Saccharomyces cerevisiae S288C: one gene and its partners. The protein of the gene in region 3 binds, or shares a complex with, the protein of the main gene of each other region. Each region holds a gene or a part of one and is shown on either strand. Other genes may lie near its edges. The genes, in order: RSC4, RSC8, RSC58 and RSC2. A codon is read from its position in the direction of its gene.

What was found.
Region 1: the proteins of RSC58 (region 3) and RSC4 are in contact, whole or in part, in a cryo-EM structure (PDB 6K15), measured with the Saccharomyces cerevisiae proteins. Residues at the interface, in NP_013133.1 of Saccharomyces cerevisiae: Ala169 (codon at 1,505), Thr170 (codon at 1,502), Glu171 (codon at 1,499), Leu172 (codon at 1,496), Ile175 (codon at 1,487), Ile176 (codon at 1,484), Asp179 (codon at 1,475), Phe180 (codon at 1,472), Ile181 (codon at 1,469), Lys182 (codon at 1,466), Ile183 (codon at 1,463), Ser184 (codon at 1,460), Met185 (codon at 1,457), Asn186 (codon at 1,454), Tyr187 (codon at 1,451), Thr188 (codon at 1,448), Val189 (codon at 1,445), Pro190 (codon at 1,442), Ile191 (codon at 1,439), Gln193 (codon at 1,433), Gln196 (codon at 1,424), Asp203 (codon at 1,403), Phe205 (codon at 1,397), Lys216 (codon at 1,364), Arg217 (codon at 1,361), Pro218 (codon at 1,358), His219 (codon at 1,355), Ile228 (codon at 1,328), Asn229 (codon at 1,325), Asn230 (codon at 1,322); in NP_012933.4 of Saccharomyces cerevisiae: Leu364 (codon at 2,733), Tyr377 (codon at 2,772), Leu379 (codon at 2,778), Asn380 (codon at 2,781), Asn382 (codon at 2,787), Lys385 (codon at 2,796), Ser429 (codon at 2,928), Met430 (codon at 2,931), Gln431 (codon at 2,934), Lys432 (codon at 2,937), Glu433 (codon at 2,940), Met434 (codon at 2,943), Gln435 (codon at 2,946), Ser436 (codon at 2,949), Leu437 (codon at 2,952), Ser438 (codon at 2,955), His441 (codon at 2,964), Met443 (codon at 2,970), Tyr445 (codon at 2,976), Lys446 (codon at 2,979), Asn478 (codon at 3,075), Trp481 (codon at 3,084), Glu483 (codon at 3,090), Tyr484 (codon at 3,093), Phe486 (codon at 3,099), Asn494 (codon at 3,123), Glu495 (codon at 3,126), Asn496 (codon at 3,129), Ala497 (codon at 3,132), Phe498 (codon at 3,135).
Region 2: the proteins of RSC58 (region 3) and RSC8 are in contact, whole or in part, in a cryo-EM structure (PDB 6V8O), measured with the Saccharomyces cerevisiae proteins. Residues at the interface, in NP_013133.1 of Saccharomyces cerevisiae: Arg137 (codon at 1,601), Asp167 (codon at 1,511), Leu172 (codon at 1,496), Asp173 (codon at 1,493), Ile176 (codon at 1,484), Ser177 (codon at 1,481), Tyr178 (codon at 1,478), Asp179 (codon at 1,475), Phe180 (codon at 1,472), Ile181 (codon at 1,469), Lys182 (codon at 1,466), Ile183 (codon at 1,463), Ser184 (codon at 1,460), Met185 (codon at 1,457), Asn186 (codon at 1,454), Tyr187 (codon at 1,451), Thr188 (codon at 1,448), Val189 (codon at 1,445), Pro190 (codon at 1,442), Ile191 (codon at 1,439), Leu232 (codon at 1,316), Pro233 (codon at 1,313), Thr235 (codon at 1,307), Asp236 (codon at 1,304), Ile237 (codon at 1,301), Glu238 (codon at 1,298), Glu240 (codon at 1,292), Ile387 (codon at 851), Ile388 (codon at 848), Lys389 (codon at 845); in NP_116695.3 of Saccharomyces cerevisiae: Thr229 (codon at 2,431), Asn233 (codon at 2,443), Val234 (codon at 2,446), Tyr235 (codon at 2,449), Asp236 (codon at 2,452), Gln239 (codon at 2,461), Phe241 (codon at 2,467), Ala243 (codon at 2,473), Glu247 (codon at 2,485), His255 (codon at 2,509), Tyr258 (codon at 2,518), Ile259 (codon at 2,521), His261 (codon at 2,527), Cys263 (codon at 2,533), Glu266 (codon at 2,542), Ser267 (codon at 2,545), Ile268 (codon at 2,548), Asn269 (codon at 2,551), Val270 (codon at 2,554), Arg271 (codon at 2,557), Tyr272 (codon at 2,560), His273 (codon at 2,563), Asn274 (codon at 2,566), Leu275 (codon at 2,569), Arg276 (codon at 2,572), Ala277 (codon at 2,575), Arg278 (codon at 2,578), Asp279 (codon at 2,581), Ser284 (codon at 2,596), Phe292 (codon at 2,620).
Region 4: the proteins of RSC58 (region 3) and RSC2 are in contact, whole or in part, in a cryo-EM structure (PDB 6K15), measured with the Saccharomyces cerevisiae proteins. Residues at the interface, in NP_013133.1 of Saccharomyces cerevisiae: Asp12 (codon at 1,976), Asn16 (codon at 1,964), Ser19 (codon at 1,955), Ile20 (codon at 1,952), Ala23 (codon at 1,943), Gln112 (codon at 1,676), Gly113 (codon at 1,673), Thr114 (codon at 1,670), Glu129 (codon at 1,625), Leu132 (codon at 1,616), Arg133 (codon at 1,613), Glu134 (codon at 1,610), Cys136 (codon at 1,604), Ile181 (codon at 1,469), Lys182 (codon at 1,466), Ile183 (codon at 1,463), Ser184 (codon at 1,460), Met185 (codon at 1,457), Asn186 (codon at 1,454), Tyr187 (codon at 1,451), Thr188 (codon at 1,448), Val189 (codon at 1,445), Ser192 (codon at 1,436), Thr194 (codon at 1,430), Tyr195 (codon at 1,427), Ile197 (codon at 1,421), Thr199 (codon at 1,415), Met202 (codon at 1,406), Leu204 (codon at 1,400), Phe205 (codon at 1,397); in NP_013461.1 of Saccharomyces cerevisiae: Ile741 (codon at 950), Met742 (codon at 947), Ala745 (codon at 938), Ser747 (codon at 932), Phe749 (codon at 926), Leu751 (codon at 920), Ile755 (codon at 908), Asn758 (codon at 899), Val759 (codon at 896), Asp760 (codon at 893), Val761 (codon at 890), Leu762 (codon at 887), Gln763 (codon at 884), Leu790 (codon at 803), Trp791 (codon at 800), Phe792 (codon at 797), Arg793 (codon at 794), Gly794 (codon at 791), Pro795 (codon at 788), Ser796 (codon at 785), Val797 (codon at 782), Ile798 (codon at 779), Val799 (codon at 776), Asn800 (codon at 773), Glu801 (codon at 770), Arg802 (codon at 767), Ile803 (codon at 764), Ile804 (codon at 761), Ser806 (codon at 755), His810 (codon at 743).

What each region holds. Positions count from the first base shown.
Region 1 is NC_001143.9:450,558-454,595, forward strand, and holds RSC4 (Rsc4p), read left to right. Parts: upstream 1-1,643; coding exon 1,644-3,521; downstream 3,522-4,038. Other genes in the region: mitochondrial 54S ribosomal protein mL50 MRPL13, read right to left, coding at 1-660; MEH1 (Meh1p), read left to right, coding at 877-1,431; bifunctional hydroxyacyl-CoA dehydrogenase/enoyl-CoA hydratase FOX2, read right to left, coding at 3,795-4,038. UniProt on the Saccharomyces cerevisiae protein: Component of the chromatin structure remodeling complex (RSC), which is involved in transcription regulation and nucleosome positioning. RSC is responsible for the transfer of a histone octamer from a nucleosome core particle to naked DNA.
Region 2 is NC_001138.5:227,013-230,932, reverse strand, and holds RSC8 (Rsc8p), read left to right. Parts: upstream 1-1,746; coding exon 1,747-3,420; downstream 3,421-3,920. Other genes in the region: IRC5 (putative ATPase), read right to left, coding at 1-1,553; anaphase promoting complex subunit CDC26, read right to left, coding at 3,596-3,920.
Region 3 is NC_001144.5:207,182-210,769, reverse strand, and holds RSC58 (Rsc58p), read right to left. Parts: upstream 2,010-3,588; coding exon 501-2,009; downstream 1-500. Other genes in the region: putative divalent metal ion transporter SMF3, read left to right, coding at 1-258; DNA helicase RAD5, read right to left, coding at 2,270-3,588. UniProt on the Saccharomyces cerevisiae protein: Component of the chromatin structure-remodeling complex (RSC), which is involved in transcription regulation and nucleosome positioning. RSC is responsible for the transfer of a histone octamer from a nucleosome core particle to naked DNA.
Region 4 is NC_001144.5:839,374-844,500, reverse strand, and holds RSC2 (Rsc2p), read right to left. Parts: upstream 3,171-5,127; coding exon 501-3,170; downstream 1-500. Other genes in the region: adenylosuccinase ADE13, read right to left, coding at 1-219; YLR358C (uncharacterized protein), read left to right, coding at 451-1,014; ATG33 (Atg33p), read right to left, coding at 3,587-4,180. UniProt on the Saccharomyces cerevisiae protein: Component of the chromatin structure remodeling complex (RSC), which is involved in transcription regulation and nucleosome positioning. RSC is responsible for the transfer of a histone octamer from a nucleosome core particle to naked DNA.

The DNA of each region.
Region 1 (4,038 bases), on a different chromosome or scaffold from region 3:
CGCGTAATTATCAGAAAATGGGTGGATAGCATTTGGCTCAGCTTCTTTATAAGCGAGTTTAGGATCGTTGGCAGATGGCAAAATTTTTTCCTTAATATACCTTTTAAACTGCAAGGGTGTGCTTAAAGTGGTCAGTTCATAATCAGGAATTAGATAGCCAGATTTAGATTGCAAAAATTTGGTGAACTGAAATTTAGCTACCAAATCAGAGAATTGGACGTCCTGGTCTACTTTGCCCAATGTTTTTTCCGTTGCCTGCAATATCATATCATCTAACTGATTATCAGACGTAATCTTATCCCTGGATAACCACTGATTGAATGGCGCAGAGGAGACCGCAAGCTTCAACTCCTTCTGTCTCTTACACCGTCTAGACCCTTCGCCAATAAAATTTTCTGGTATTAGCTCCAATCTGTTTTTGTTATTGGAAGAGGATTGAGAGGAAGCCTCGTTAGTGCCTTCTTCAATATCCTTTATCAACTGTTTGGTGTCCTTGACAGGCTCTTGGTGCTCTTCTTGCTTCTTCCTCTTGAACCATGACATAAAGTCCCCGTTTGCAGCGGAACTGTGAATACATCTGGCTTTCTGCTTGTAGCCAGAGAGCCAGACCGACCTTTGCGGCAATGGTCTAATACAATGTAATTTAAGCAGTGACGACATCCTCATACTATGTCCGCCTTTCCGTCTACCCATTATTCACTTCAGGACTGATGATCAGGCATGCAGTTAATTTGACAGAAGTCGTTGTTTCACTATAAATTTGTCAGCTACCCGCCTCACCAGCAGCGATAAAGAACGAAGAATAAAAGAGAGCATTCACAGAGTACGAATCCAGTATAGCGGTAGTGGATACAACGACAGATTTAAGTCGTAAAAATGGGAGCCGTACTCAGCTGTTGTAGAAACCATTCCGGCGAAGAGAATGAAGCTTTGCTGAGGGAACAGCAGGCAGGCTATGGAAGTCAAGGAAACGCAAATGACGAATACGATGCCGAACAAATGCGGTTGAAGGAACACGAACACGAACAGAAACTGCTGGCCAGGGAACAAGAGTTAAGAGACATTGTTGCAAACACCAACGATAAACTAATAGACATATCGATGATAAACAATAGTGGCATTGTAATTCAAGGGACAGACCTGCAAGAAGCTCTTGATAAAAGACAACAGGAAGAAGGTGGAGATTCCCGGGAAGACGAAAGGAGTGCAGGTGATGACAACCTCAGTGGGCACTCAGTGCCTTCAAGCGGATCCGCACAGGCAACTACTCACCAAACTGCACCAAGGACTAATACGTTTACTCTGCTTACATCACCGGATTCAGCGAAAATATCAAAGGAACAGTTAAAGAAGTTGCACTCTAATATACTAAATGAAATTTTCAGCCAGTCCCAGGTAAACAAACCAGGCCCCTTGACGGTTCCCTTTTAATGAACTTTTTGTATAACATCATTGGTATACAAGCTTTATAAATAAATGTTAAATAGTTAATGAAATAAAAAATCACATTTGACGAATTCGGAAGACAAGTAGCCCAAGAAAAAAAACAACAAAAGCATGCTAGAGGATGATGTTTAAAACGACCCTCAGCCTGTTATTACAATAGAGAGCAAACCAAAGAATAATAGATAAAGTACACAGATATGGTAGTTAAGAAGCGTAAGTTGGCAACTGAGGCCGGTGGCAGTGATGAAAGGCCTAAATACTTGCCGGGAAAACATCCTAAAAACCAAGAGAAAACTCCGCATGTGGATTATAACGCCCCATTAAACCCTAAATCTGAACTTTTTCTAGATGACTGGCATATACCTAAATTTAATCGATTTATTAGTTTCACTTTGGATGTTCTTATCGACAAATACAAAGATATTTTCAAAGATTTCATCAAACTACCAAGTAGGAAGTTTCATCCACAGTATTATTACAAGATCCAGCAGCCAATGTCTATTAATGAAATCAAGTCAAGAGATTATGAATACGAAGATGGTCCAAGTAATTTTCTTTTGGATGTTGAGCTACTGACAAAGAATTGTCAAGCTTACAATGAATATGACAGTTTGATTGTAAAAAACTCCATGCAAGTAGTAATGTTGATTGAATTTGAAGTATTGAAGGCAAAAAATTTGAAAAGAAATTACTTAATTAACAGCGAGGTCAAAGCCAAATTACTGCACTATCTTAATAAGCTAGTTGACGCCACGGAAAAGAAAATCAACCAGGCTCTGCTGGGTGCGTCATCTCCTAAAAACTTAGACGACAAAGTCAAGCTAAGTGAACCGTTTATGGAATTAGTCGATAAAGATGAACTTCCTGAATATTATGAAATAGTGCATAGCCCCATGGCTTTATCGATCGTAAAGCAGAACCTCGAAATTGGTCAGTATTCCAAGATATATGATTTCATCATTGATATGCTTTTAGTTTTTCAGAATGCTCATATATTCAATGATCCAAGCGCTTTGATTTACAAAGACGCAACAACTTTAACAAATTATTTTAACTACTTAATACAAAAGGAATTCTTCCCAGAGTTACAGGATTTAAATGAACGTGGCGAAATTAATTTAGAATTTGACAAATTCGAATTCGAAAACTACTTAGCTATTGGTGGTGGTGGTCCAGCCGCAGCAGGTGCGTTAGCTATATCTGCTCTTGATAATGATATTGAGCCAGAATCTAACCGTGAAGATCTTATTGATCAAGCAGATTATGATTTCAATCATTTCGAAGGTCTCGGCAATGGTTATAATCGTTCTCTCCTAACTGAAGATTATTTACTGAACCCAAACAACTTCAAAAAGTTAATAGCCAAACCGGAAACAGTGCAATCCGAAGTCAAAAATGAAAGATCAACGACATCTGATATTGAGAAGACAAACTCCTTAGAGAGCGAACATTTAAAAATCCCCAAATACAATGTTATAAAATCCATGCAAAAAGAAATGCAATCACTCTCAGAGCAACACACCATGGAGTATAAGCCCTATAAATTAATACAACAAATTTACATTTTTTCTTCTAAAAATTTGTATTCGCAGGCAACTAAGCCTTTACTGGGTTCAAGGCCATCATGCAATCAAAATTGGGTAGAGTATATTTTCAATGGTAATGAATTGAGTCAAAATGAAAACGCTTTCTCCTTCATGTTACAACCCATGCAAACTTTTTTAACATTACAGTCTCATTTGACCTCATCATTAAAGGATACAGAGACTTTATTAACCATTAATAAAGAGCCAGTGAAGTCTAGAACTTCAAATGTAAACAGTAACCTTTCCCAACCTCAGCAACAAGAAAATGATGTTATTGGAAACGATACGAAGCAAGATATAGAAAATTTGACAATCGGCGGCGGCAACAATAACGATATTGTTGGTAACGATAATGATAAACGTAATAATATAACCGAAATCTTTGATATTCGCTTATCAGAAGGTTTAAATCATTTGATGTTTAGGTGTGAGGACAAAATATCTCATGAAACGGAATTCATGAATTTCTGGATAAATGTCTTACCATGATGACTATCTCTCTCTTCATAGTCTTCCCATCATATGCATGTATCTATATACAACCTATATACACTTTGTAATATTATCCATCCTCTTCCTCTATATAGATTAAAACTGTTAATATTACACATGACAAAAAAGTTGCGTCCGTAAAGAAAAAGTACTTAAAATGGGTAGGTTAGTTATGTAGGGAAAGATGTATGTAAGGATATGGCTTAACAAAGCTGTTAAATGAAAAGAATATAATCGCTATTTTTTATATTATTCAAATCTTTTTTTGTATTATAGTTTAGATTTTGCCTGCGATAGTTTTACAGCGGCGTTATCCAATACAATGACGTTTCTGGTCGTATCAATTGTTTGAAAAACGACAACCGAGCCTTGCTTCCAAGCTTTAACCTTTAGAGTATCACCTGGGAAAACAACATTGGTAAATCTCACTTTCAACTCCTCATATGGACCATAATGTTCAAACAATGCTTTCGCACTAATACCTAATGTACAAAGCCCATGCAGAATTGGCGTA
Region 2 (3,920 bases), on a different chromosome or scaffold from region 3:
GAAACGTGGCCGATGTATTCATCGTTCAATGTGAAAAAATCCTTGATTAATTCTTTGAACATGGTTTTTTTCAACTTTCCATTCAATCCAGCCTTATAGAATTTTTCCTGTGCAGACGTCATCGGACAATTTATGATATATTCTCTCTTTGGCGGCAGAATATTAGCCAAAACAACTTTTTTCAATCTTCTCAAAAGGAATGGTTTCAGAATTGTGTGTAAATTGGAAATCAAATTTTTCTGTAGTTCATCGTTGATTAACTTATTCAATGCTTCAGAGTTGGAACCGGAGCCTAAATTTAAGCTGTCGAAGTCAAACCATTTATTGAATATCTCGAAATCGGCAAAGATATCGGGCATTATGAAATTCAAAAGTGACCATAATTCAGCTAGGTTATTTTGTAAAGGCGTCCCTGTTAGTAGCAGTCTATTGGAAGTATTGATTTTTTTTAACTCTTTAATCAATCTACAGTTTATATTTTTCAGACGGTGGCCTTCATCAACAATTAAAAATTTCCAATTTTGACTCATGATTAAGTCGGTATCTCTTAAAATAATTTCATATGATGTGATGACGATCCCCGTGCCGCCGTGTTGTTTAAAGAAATTTTTCAACTTGGCAGAACGTTCCTTATAACCATTGGTCCCATAATATTTTAGAACTGGTAGATCAGGAGCGAATTTTGCAAATTCGTTCATCCAATTATCTAGGGTGCTTAATGGTGCAGTCACTAGAAAAGGACCCTTTGTGTCCATTTCATATATGAACGCCAAAAGAGCAATACTTTGAACAGTCTTACCAAGACCCATTTCATCGGCAAGAATTCCGTTCAGGCCATTTTCATAAAGAGTGATCAGCCAGTTAAGACCTTCTAGTTGGTAAGGTTTTAAAATACAGTTTTTCAATAGGCGAGGTTGCTTTATTGCTGCATCGTCTGGTGCGCCGTTTTGGGTGGTTGTATCTTCGTTCTTTTTCTGTTTTTTGAAGAAATCTGTTATTGATTTTTTTTTTGTTTTACGTTTTTTTGAAGAATGTTCTTCATCATCAGAGTTGCTGTTATCTTTTGTATTAGCGTTAGCCACTTCATTAGATCGATGTAGTAAAGTATCGGCGATTATACTGGAATATACCTGACTCTGCCTCACAAACTCGTTTAGTTTCTTAAGTTTTAAAGAAACCGTCTTGGTATCCATCTCGGAGAGCTCATCATCCAAGGATTTTTGCTCTGATTTCGTGTCTTTTGCCAATTTATCCACCACTTGGGCTTGAACAGCTTCTGTATCGGAATCGTCCTCTGAGTCCAGCTGAATATCTTCGTCTGAATGCACATCATCTTGTAACCATATGGGGGCAGTGTCATTGTCGCCTTTGCCATGTTTATTGTCCTCTGAATCCAAATCTGAATCTGAATCTGAAATGTCAGCCGTTAGGTCATTGACTTCCTTCTCCCGGTAATTGACGCCATTGCTCATGTTTCTCGTCCTTGCAGCCACCCTGGCCCCAACAGCATCCTCAACAACAGTCATCAGCGCCGCGTTTGAGCATCTGCTCATCTCATCGCCAAATTTGATACTTCCTTAATCCGTTACTCTTTTCTATGATAATTTAATTACGGCGTTCTCTTTGTCACCCGCTTGATGTAAAAAAGTTGGAAAAAATAAGTTTCATCAACATTGAATTAGTTCGTGAGGTTTATAGAGAGAAGGGTAGAGCAGAGAAGCAAAGAGTAGATAGAAGGCCAGGATAATGAGCGACACTGAAAAGGATAAGGATGTCCCTATGGTAGACTCGCACGAAGCGACCGAGGAGCCACCCACCACAAGCACCAACACGCCATCTTTCCCTCACTTAGCACAGGAACAGGCGAAGGAGGAATCTGCCACATTGGGAGCAGAAGTAGCTCATAAGAAAATCAATTACGAGCAAGAAGCACAGAAACTGGAGGAGAAGGCCCTTAGGTTCCTGGCAAAGCAAACTCACCCGGTGATTATTCCGTCGTTTGCCTCTTGGTTTGATATTTCGAAGATCCACGAGATCGAAAAAAGATCCAATCCCGACTTTTTCAACGATTCATCAAGGTTCAAGACACCAAAGGCATATAAGGACACAAGAAATTTTATCATCAACACGTACCGTCTTTCGCCGTACGAATATTTGACCATTACCGCTGTGAGAAGAAATGTTGCCATGGATGTTGCCTCGATAGTGAAGATTCACGCGTTCTTGGAAAAATGGGGCTTAATCAATTATCAGATTGACCCCAGGACCAAGCCCAGTCTTATTGGGCCAAGTTTTACGGGCCACTTCCAAGTGGTTCTGGACACTCCGCAGGGGTTAAAGCCATTTTTACCAGAGAATGTGATCAAGCAAGAAGTGGAAGGAGGAGATGGAGCGGAACCACAAGTCAAGAAGGAATTTCCCGTTAATCTCACAATCAAGAAGAACGTTTACGATTCTGCACAAGACTTCAATGCATTACAAGACGAAAGTAGAAACTCCAGGCAGATTCACAAAGTTTACATTTGCCATACATGCGGTAACGAGTCAATCAATGTGCGCTACCACAATTTGCGTGCACGGGACACCAACCTGTGCTCCCGTTGTTTCCAAGAGGGTCATTTCGGTGCCAACTTTCAATCTTCAGATTTCATCAGATTAGAAAACAACGGAAACTCGGTTAAAAAAAACTGGTCAGACCAGGAGATGCTACTATTGCTGGAGGGTATTGAAATGTATGAAGACCAGTGGGAGAAGATTGCTGACCACGTGGGTGGGCACAAGCGTGTAGAAGACTGCATTGAAAAATTCCTAAGCTTACCGATCGAGGACAACTACATCCGAGAAGTTGTTGGTTCAACGCTGAATGGTAAGGGTGGCGACAGCCGCGATGGTAGTGTGTCCGGTTCGAAGTTGATGGAATGCGTGAATGATGCTGTCCAGACGCTACTGCAAGGCGACGACAAATTGGGTAAGGTCTCTGATAAGTCGAGAGAGATCTCCGAAAAGTACATTGAAGAAAGCCAAGCGATAATCCAAGAGTTAGTCAAGCTGACCATGGAGAAATTAGAGAGCAAGTTTACAAAGCTGTGCGATCTAGAAACGCAACTGGAGATGGAAAAACTGAAATATGTGAAGGAATCTGAAAAGATGCTGAACGACCGATTATCACTGAGTAAACAGATTCTTGACCTGAACAAGTCGCTGGAGGAGTTGAATGTGTCGAAGAAACTGGTACTGATCTCGGAGCAAGTAGACTCGGGCATACAACTAGTGGAGAAGGACCAGGAGGGCGATGACGAAGACGGCAATACGGCCACAGGACATGGCGTGAAACGTGTAGGCAAGGAAGGCGAGGAAGTAGGCGAAGGCGACTCCATTGCAAAATTGCAGCCCCAGGTGTACAAACCGTGGTCATTGTAAAAAAATATATAAGAAAAAAAAAAAAAAAAAAAAAGAGAGCCTACAAAGTGTACTATTGTCATATTTTATATTTCTAATACAACGTATATAAAACTAGAGAGAAGAAATTTTATAAGTGAAAGTGAATGTGGATGCGTGCGCGTGTGCGTGTGCGTGTGCGTATGCGGATATGCTATTATTCCTCGCGGATGTAGAAGGGGTTGTGGTTGTCGTTTGCATTGGACGTCTCGTGGGCGGTATTGCTGTCGGTGGACAGATGCAAGGAATTGAGGACTCTGGTGTGCGCTACCGAGGCTGCTTTGTCGTTGTAAGATGACATGTCGTCATCTTCATCGATATCGTTATCGTTATCGTTATTGTTGTCTTCGATATTCTGCGATGTGTCCTGAAAGTCTGTATTGGAGTGCAGCGATCCGCCATTTTTTCCTTGGAAGTATTTTGTCTTCTCGATATTCAGCTGCTGCTTGAGTTTCTGCTCGTTCAGGTCATCGATCAGAGAG
Region 3 (3,588 bases):
TCCGCTCCTTTAATTTATTTTACCGCAAATAGAAAGTTGATGGTTGTTCATGACGAAAATGGTGTGGTAAGAGCACCTGCCGATGTTAACGCCATTGCTGATGAAACCACTCCATTGAACTCCAAGCACAGTAAAATAGTTGATTTTACTAACAGTCGTTTGTTGACCTATACCTCTGTTTTCGTATGGGCTTTAATCGGGAGCTTGAATTGCTATTTGGTGATTTCCTATCTCTTAGGTGCCGACATCCATTTTTAATGGAACCTATTTATTGTCAAGTGTGTCGTTTTCTCTCGATTCTTGTTTTCTCTCATTTCTTTATTCTGCATAATACAACCCAAGTATATACTTACGTATGCATAGCCTTCAGAACAAATGCATACTTTATCTAATATCAAAATATAAACATACATTAGTCAAAAAAGACTTGATGAGCTTTCATGAAACTAAAACAAAGATAATTCATTATTTATCTTTGATTCCACTACCGCTGACACTATTTATTTCTTGTGTTTCCGTTTACGACCTGGTTGCGCCCTTACCACAGGTATGCTACCATTATAGTTTGTTTGTAATACTGGAAAGGCCCTTACATTGTTTATAGGAACCTTGGAAACCTTCTTTGCTAAGATAACCTCCTTTAGTATTCTTTTCACTTTGAAGTATAATTCTCGTTCCTCCGTAGTAGGCTTCAAAACTTTATTTAAAATCCTCTCCTTTCTAAGTCTTTTAAGTTTTAAGAGAGAGTCTGAAACCAACTTATCTGGTGTGCCATTTCGAAAGTTCTCAATTTCGTCATCTCCAATGTAATTAGATGGTGTCCAATTATATAAGTTTTGAAGCTTGATTATGAATTGTTCCTTATTCTCAGTACTCTCTGAATTTGCAGAAGCGATAGTCGCATCATTATCATTATCACCACCATCGTCCTGAACGCCATTGCTTTTGCCGTCAACATTTTTGTTGTTTTCATCGTTCTGCTTCCTGTTTATGCCTTCTTCATTCGTGTTCAGTAATTCTTCTTGTTTTACTTTCTTTTCATTTTTTTCATACAAGTCCATATAACCAATTCTTTCAAGCCAAATAAGACCCCTTGTTGTCGAATCCACAACGGTGCCGTTTTCATTAAAGGAAGGTGCCCAAGAATTATAATTACCATATTTTAGCCAGACGGTTGTAGGTAAAGCATACCAATTTGGATGCAAAAATCTAGTCATCATTTCAGTTGGTGGTAACGTAGGGTCCGGAATATTACTAGTATTAGCGCCTACAAATCCTAATCTTGGAGCTTCGTTTTCTATATCAGTTTGAGGTAAGACGTTGTTTATTTTGAAGTTTGTATTAGGAAGTTCATGAGGTCTTTTGTCAAGATTAGATTTAGAAATTATCGAAGAAAAAAGGTCCATATCCTTCGTTCTTATCTGATATGTTTGAGAAATCGGCACTGTGTAATTCATAGAAATCTTAATAAAATCATAAGAGATTATTTTGTCTAGTTCTGTTGCATCGTCATCGTCGTATTCATCCATCTCGTTTCCGCTCAACAACTTACCACTTCTTGATTTAATATTATTAGTTTGCGTTAGAGCAATTCCTATCCTACAACATTCTCGTAATAAAAGCTCTGAAGAAAATTTGTAGAACTTGTCGACTAATTGGTAGTTTCTTGTACCCTGAGGATAAAAGTGAATGAGGATTGTACAAACCAGCTTAATGTCGTGATACAGCTTATAAAACCCACCTTGTATGGGTTCGTACTCTCCATTTTCAAACCTCTTATTGATAGTTGTCAAAACTAATTTATCTTCATTACGTATCAAACCTTCAGAGTTACTTCTATTTTTAATGAATTTACAATATGATTCATATATCTTATCCGGATTTTTCTCAAAGAACTTGGCTGGAAAACTTTCATCTACTACATGACATTTCACAGAGGCAGCATTCAAAATGGATTGAACATTTACCAAAAAATCTACTAGTTTATTTCCACCTACACTTTCTGTCATAATGAAAACTTTCGATTTTCAAAATTATCTCTTATTTGATCCCGACTGATGATGATTTTCTTCGTCTTCGTATTTCTATCGTCCATGCCTTATGGCGCTGTTTTATTTTCTTAATTGTTTTTTTAATAATTGCAACTTAAAAATACGGGTAACGGAAAAGGAAGATAATAGAAGTTGCATGAAGTAGCTGAAGAATAATTAGTTCTTTCGGGTTGAAAATAATAATAAATAAAGTCTTTATATATGAGTATGTGGTATGACTATTCAAACAGCATCTGGATTTCTTCAATTCTCCTTTTTCTTCTCTCGTCTTCGTCTGTGTCCATGGCCTCACCGATGGTTCTCTTCTTTTCTTGAATGCGTAGCATTTTTTCTTCTATGCTATCTTGTATGATAAATCTCATAACTTTGACGCTGTTTGTCTGGCCAATTCTATGCAGTCTATCGATTGCCTGATCTTCCATACTGGGCGACCACCATGGGTCCATCATATAAGCGTGGGAAGCACACGTTAGATTCAAACCCACGCCACCAGCCTTCAGCGAGAGTAATAGGATTTTTTGCCTGCTATAGTCTTTAACGGCAAAATCTGCTAATACACTAGTTCTTTCTTTTAATGAGAGACGTCCATCGAATTTATAAATTTTTGCAACATCTTTTGAGAAAGTATGAGTTAGCTCTTTCTCCAGGATATCCAAGTATGTAGAAAATTGGGAAAAAATGACAACTTGTTCGCCTGCCGAACTATCCTGTAGCAATTGAAGCTCCTTCAATAAAGCAGTGATTTTGCTTGATTTGGAGGCTGGTGAATATGGTTTGAATTCCAAATTTTTCGAGTTGCTATTCGTTTGTACCAATGCCAACAACCGACAAGCGTCTATTTGGTTACGGCAATTGGGGCACTTTAAACCCAAATTCTTACTGTTCTGAAACTCAATATATTCAAATAAACATTTCTCACAAAAACTGTGGCCGCATTCTGTAAATAAAGCCTTGTCCAAATCCATAGGTTCCGTTGTGCAGATGGAGCACTCTAAGGACTGAAACGATTTATTGTCTGGATATTTAACTTTTAATCTTTGTATCATTGCATCTAATTCCTCCTTAGAAAATGAGTTATCGAATCTCTCGGAAACAACACGCATTAAAGAGTCAAGCTCCACCGTTTGTTCCGTAACCAATTTATTATTTTTAGATAAATCCTCATCGTTCTCATCTTGACTCCCAATAAGACCGGGATGGCAACAGACTTGCCTCAATCTTAAAATATGGACAAGGATAGTGGAGTACTTTTTCAATAAATCACCGCGTGCAATACCCGATTTAACAGAAACTTCAGCCTTATCCAACAGAAACTTGTATAGAAGATCTTGAGATTTACTGAAGGGAAGTCTTTTAATAACGACCTCCTTTGGTGGCAACTCTACTAATGGCTTACCATCTTTATCTTTCATTTGTTTTGTCCTTCTTAACAATACGGGTTCCAGAATTGCATTCACCACATCAAATGCTTGTTTGTAATTTTTACTCTCAAAAGGCGTTGATACAAAGGTCTTCCAGTAATTAATTTGCCGCCAGG
Region 4 (5,127 bases), 630 kb from region 3:
TTTTGCGATTTCATCATCAGTGATTTCGACGTGTTTGCGCATTTGCTCAATTGCTTCATCTGTAACAACAGTTAAGCCCAATTCCTTCTCAGCAATAGCCAAATTTAACCATAGTTTTCTCCATGTGGAAAATCTGTTTCTCAAAGAAAACGTTGCTGACATTTCCTTGGAGGCATATCTAGAAGACAATGGCGTAGTGTAATTGTCATAGTCAGGCATCTTTTATATAATTCGGATAGTTTATTTCACTTTAGTTGTAGCAACTTACTGGAAAAGCTTTGGTCCTTGGGGAAGAAATTTTGAGAGGTTGGTGATGAAGTATAATTGTTTTATATGGCTACTATTAATACAACGATAATATATCTATAGATGACTTTCTTCTATATAATAACTTCTGTTTTATTTCATTTTCCTGCTTTGTTTGAAGTTTGACTCTGCTCGCGGAGGGTAATGCGCAATGGGAAGATATTATGCTGCCATTGCTTTTACAATAAAGGTGATCATGAAGACGACGAAGGAGGCCGCAGCATAGAGAGTCTGTGCGCCGTGAACTTAGCCGAGGGTCTTAATCCAAGGACAAATGGGCCTGGCAAGGACTCTTTCTCATTTTCAACATCCGGTTCTAAGCCATCATCATCTTTGTCCTTTCCAGTCACATCTTCCATGGTTTCTTCAACTTCTTCGTATTCTAGTTTTCTTTTCTTGTTAGTGGTAAACCACCTATTCAGTGGCAGGCTTAGGTGTGGGTCACCTGAATTTATTATTCGTTCATTTACTATCACACTAGGTCCTCTGAACCATAATATTTCACCCTTTGTTTTTTTCCATGGAAACATCTCTTCTCTTCCAGATCTCTTGGTTTGGCTGTGCAGATCAGTACGCTGCAAAACATCTACGTTTTTGGTTATAGAGATAGGTAAGACAAACGAGGAGGCTGCATCGATCATTATATTACCCAAATTACCTCTTGATGCCTGCGATGTTAAATCATCGATTATTGTTGGGATATTATAACGTGATGCTTGGGATCTTTTCTGTTGTTGGTATTGATGTTGCTGCTGTTGTAACCTTTGCAATTGGTGTTGCTTTAAACCTTGTACAGTAAGCGGGCCTCCCGCGCCAGGGGAACCAACTCTTGACAGTGGTATTTGTTGCTGGCCAATAGCATTTTGGTTTTCTAAAGACATAGATGACCTGTTATATCTTAAACTGGATAGTTTACTACTTGAGTATCCTGTTTTAGGAAGAGCATTTGCTGTTGGCGTGTTTGTGGTGATCGTACCTGTTTCTATATCCACTTGTCCCTCTTCGGGAGAATCGTTGGGTCTGATAATATACCTGGGACAGTCATCAGAGGTTGCATATTCCCCCAAATCGTCACGCTGCATTTTAGGTCTCATATAAACGGCACCGACCAATGGTGGCGCGTCCGGGGATCCCATCGTTGGTTCAGGAACGCGATCATGCGGCGTTGCATTAGCTGGTAGTAGATGTCTTATGGGGGAAGGATATTTGAAGAACTTTCTACCATTTACCGGAATGGTAGCTTCGTCCAAATCACGAATTTCCTCTGGTAAGCAAGCCTTCCAGGTTCTAATCTTGTTAAAAATTTTATCGGATTCATTATAACGGAATTCGCAAACGAACAAGGGACCCTCCAATTTCATATCGGGATTACCACGTTGATATCTAGTAAAGTGAATCACATAGCATTTCCCAACTAAGTTTGACACTAAATGATCACGGTACTGACCTGTTTTCATAACTTCGTTTTTGTAAAACAATCTATCCACTCTATGCACAGTTTGTTCGGGTCTGTAATACCAACAAGCGTTTAACCATTGTTTCCCATCTGGTGTCTTCCATAGCCTGAATATTTGGCCCACTATAGGTTTTTGAGGATCATTTTGATTTCGAAGAAGTGCCCAATCTCCCACGTGGTATGATATATTATTTACAATGACTTCATCTAGAGGGTATCTTAGCTCGCCTTCTGGAATGAAACTTCTATCAGGTTTGGATAGTTCGAATCTTGCCAGACTAGTAAAGGTCTTTTCTAAGATATTTGAAATTTTTATGCTTTCAGGATCACCTCTGTGCGAAATTCTAAAGTTGGTTAACATAAGATTAAAATCATTCTGGAACTCCTGGAACGTTTTATAACGACGAGTCTTTACCTTTTTATTTATGTCTTGAAGACTAATTGGATTAGCAATCATGATGTAGTAATTTGCATCTCTGTGTCTATCGGGCAATCTTTCAAAAAGATCAGTTAGACCAATTCCACTATCTAGCACCTCTTTTTTTAGTACTTTCATAACATTTTTCATTCTTTGAATATACGGTAAGTCGATGATTGGGGGTCTCCCACGCTTTACCTGAGTTCTGGATACCTGTCTATGCCTTGGGCCTAACGGCTGAGGGGTGCCTGAGTGAGATGGAGTAGTGGACCTGTTGTCTCTTAATGGTTTCCGAGTATATGGATTAATATTTATTAGTGGCTTTCTTATCAAATCAGGAAAATCAGCATCCTTAGGGTTATCGATATCCATATCCGTCGCCTCATAGTCCTCATCATTATTTGTATCGGTTCCTGGTTCTGATTCTCTTTTGACGGAAGTACGAGTCTTTCTTAATCTTCTGGCTGCTTCTGTTGAATTCATTGAAGAGCTCGACTCGGCTCTGGCTGCATTAGCTCTCGCTACTTCCTCAGCTTTTTCTCTTAATTTCTGTTGAAACTCTTCATAACCTGGTTCATCGGGTAGAGGACCCAAATCAGGATACACTAATTGAGGATATTTTTCTTTTAAATTTGGATAGATTGTGTCCTTTAAATATTTCTCAAGGACTAAGGCGTATTTATAAATTCCTGAATCTCTTGTATTGTAAGTCTTGGCATTCCATGGAATCTGGACAACATCGTTCATAAACTGTTGAGCATCTGTATAATGTGGAATACGCTTTTTTAAAGTATTGAAAGATACAGGGTTCTTGATCACTGCGTAGTAGTCAGGATAATCCTTTTTAGGTGGAAGGACATTGAATATTGGTGAAATCTCTAACCCAGAATCTTCCTTTAAAGTGAAAAGAGATTCATATTCTTTCCTCAGGTCCTTGTATAATGCGCTTGAGTTTTGAGTGGACGAGTTTGAATTGTCATCAGGCATCATGCACTGTCAATGTAGAATATTCTCCGCTTCGTCTGGTTCTGCGCGACGTGCTGTATATTTGATCACGTATTGAACTGTTACCAATACTTTTTTCAGCTGTGTTGTTTTCTCTATTTTCTCACTTTAACATGCGAATTTTCGCACGACTCTCGGCCGGGTGAGAAAAGTCAGTGACAGTAATAAACCAAGTGCAAGAGCACCTACAAATGTGCTTATTACAGTGTATTATTATGTATATATGTGCATACGTGTGTGTATGCACAATTTTTGAACATACTGTCTTTTGAACGTTTGAAAACTCGTAGGAATATATAAAAAAACTGCAAATTACTACACACTTTATTTTTGGAGAGAGAGAGGAGCCGAGTTCAGGCAGCTACAAATTCTTGTAGAGATAAATACGTGAACGAGAAACACTAGATAAATTGTCCTTCCCCATAAACGCCAATAACGGCTTGTACAAAGCCAACAATAGCAATAGCAGTTGCTGCAATTAGATTTTTAGTATGGATTGGGGGACCGGTGTGCAATGCCTCTGCCGGCTTTGATACTGTGGTTGCTGCAGGCTTCCCGTCTCGAGGTGTATTTTCTGAAGCATGGTTGTCTTCACCTAAATCAATAATAGAATCGCTCAGTTCGGAAGCAGCGAGTTTGCTGTCTTCGGGAAATAAAGAAGATTCCTTAGAGACTTTACTGTACTTTCTAGACTGATAGTTGGAGGCACATCCTAGAACAAATGAAGATAATGGAGCTACAAGCATACCATAGAGTAAGTAGGGGTGTCTCAATGAGGGAGGAGCGCCGAAAAAGCTCACACAAAAGAAAGTTGACGCAAACGCTCCCAAGGCGGTGGCCGCATTTTTCAAAGTGGTTAAAGTGGGAGTAAGGGATCCTGTTAAAACCTCTAGTGGAGTAGTAGATGTAATCAATGAAGCGGAAGCCAAAAGACCAGAGTAGAGGCCTATAGAAGAAACTGCGATACCTTTTGTGATGGCTAAACAAACAGACATCTTTTTATATGTTTTTACTTCTGTATATCGTGAAGTAGTAAGTGATAAGCGAATTTGGCTAAGAACGTTGTAAGTGAACAAGGGACCTCTTTTGCCTTTCAAAAAAGGATTAAATGGAGTTAATCATTGAGATTTAGTTTTCGTTAGATTCTGTATCCCTAAATAACTCCCTTACCCGACGGGAAGGCACAAAAGACTTGAATAATAGCAAACGGCCAGTAGCCAAGACCAAATAATACTAGAGTTAACTGATGGTCTTAAACAGGCATTACGTGGTGAACTCCAAGACCAATATACAAAATATCGATAAGTTATTCTTGCCCACCAATTTAAGGAGCCTACATCAGGACAGTAGTACCATTCCTCAGAGAAGAGGTATACATAACAAGAAAATCGCGTGAACACCTTATATAACTTAGCCCGTTATTGAGCTAAAAAACCTTGCAAAATTTCCTATGAATAAGAATACTTCAGACGTGATAAAAATTTACTTTCTAACTCTTCTCACGCTGCCCCTATCTGTTCTTCCGCTCTACCGTGAGAAATAAAGCATCGAGTACGGCAGTTCGCTGTCACTGAACTAAAACAATAAGGCTAGTTCGAATGATGAACTTGCTTGCTGTCAAACTTCTGAGTTGCCGCTGATGTGACACTGTGACAATAAATTCAAACCGGTTATAGCGGTCTCCTCCGGTACCGGTTCTGCCACCTCCAATAGAGCTCAGTAGGAGTCAGAACCTCTGCGGTGGCTGTCAGTGACTCATCCGCGTTTCGTAAGTTGTGCGCGTGCACATTTCGCCCGTTCCCGCTCATCTTGCAGCAGGCGAAATTTTCATCACGCTGTAGGACGCAAAAAAAAAATAATTAATCGTACAAGAATCTTGGAAAAAAAATTGAAAAATTTTGTATAAAAGGGATGACCTAACTTGACTCAATGGCTTTTACAC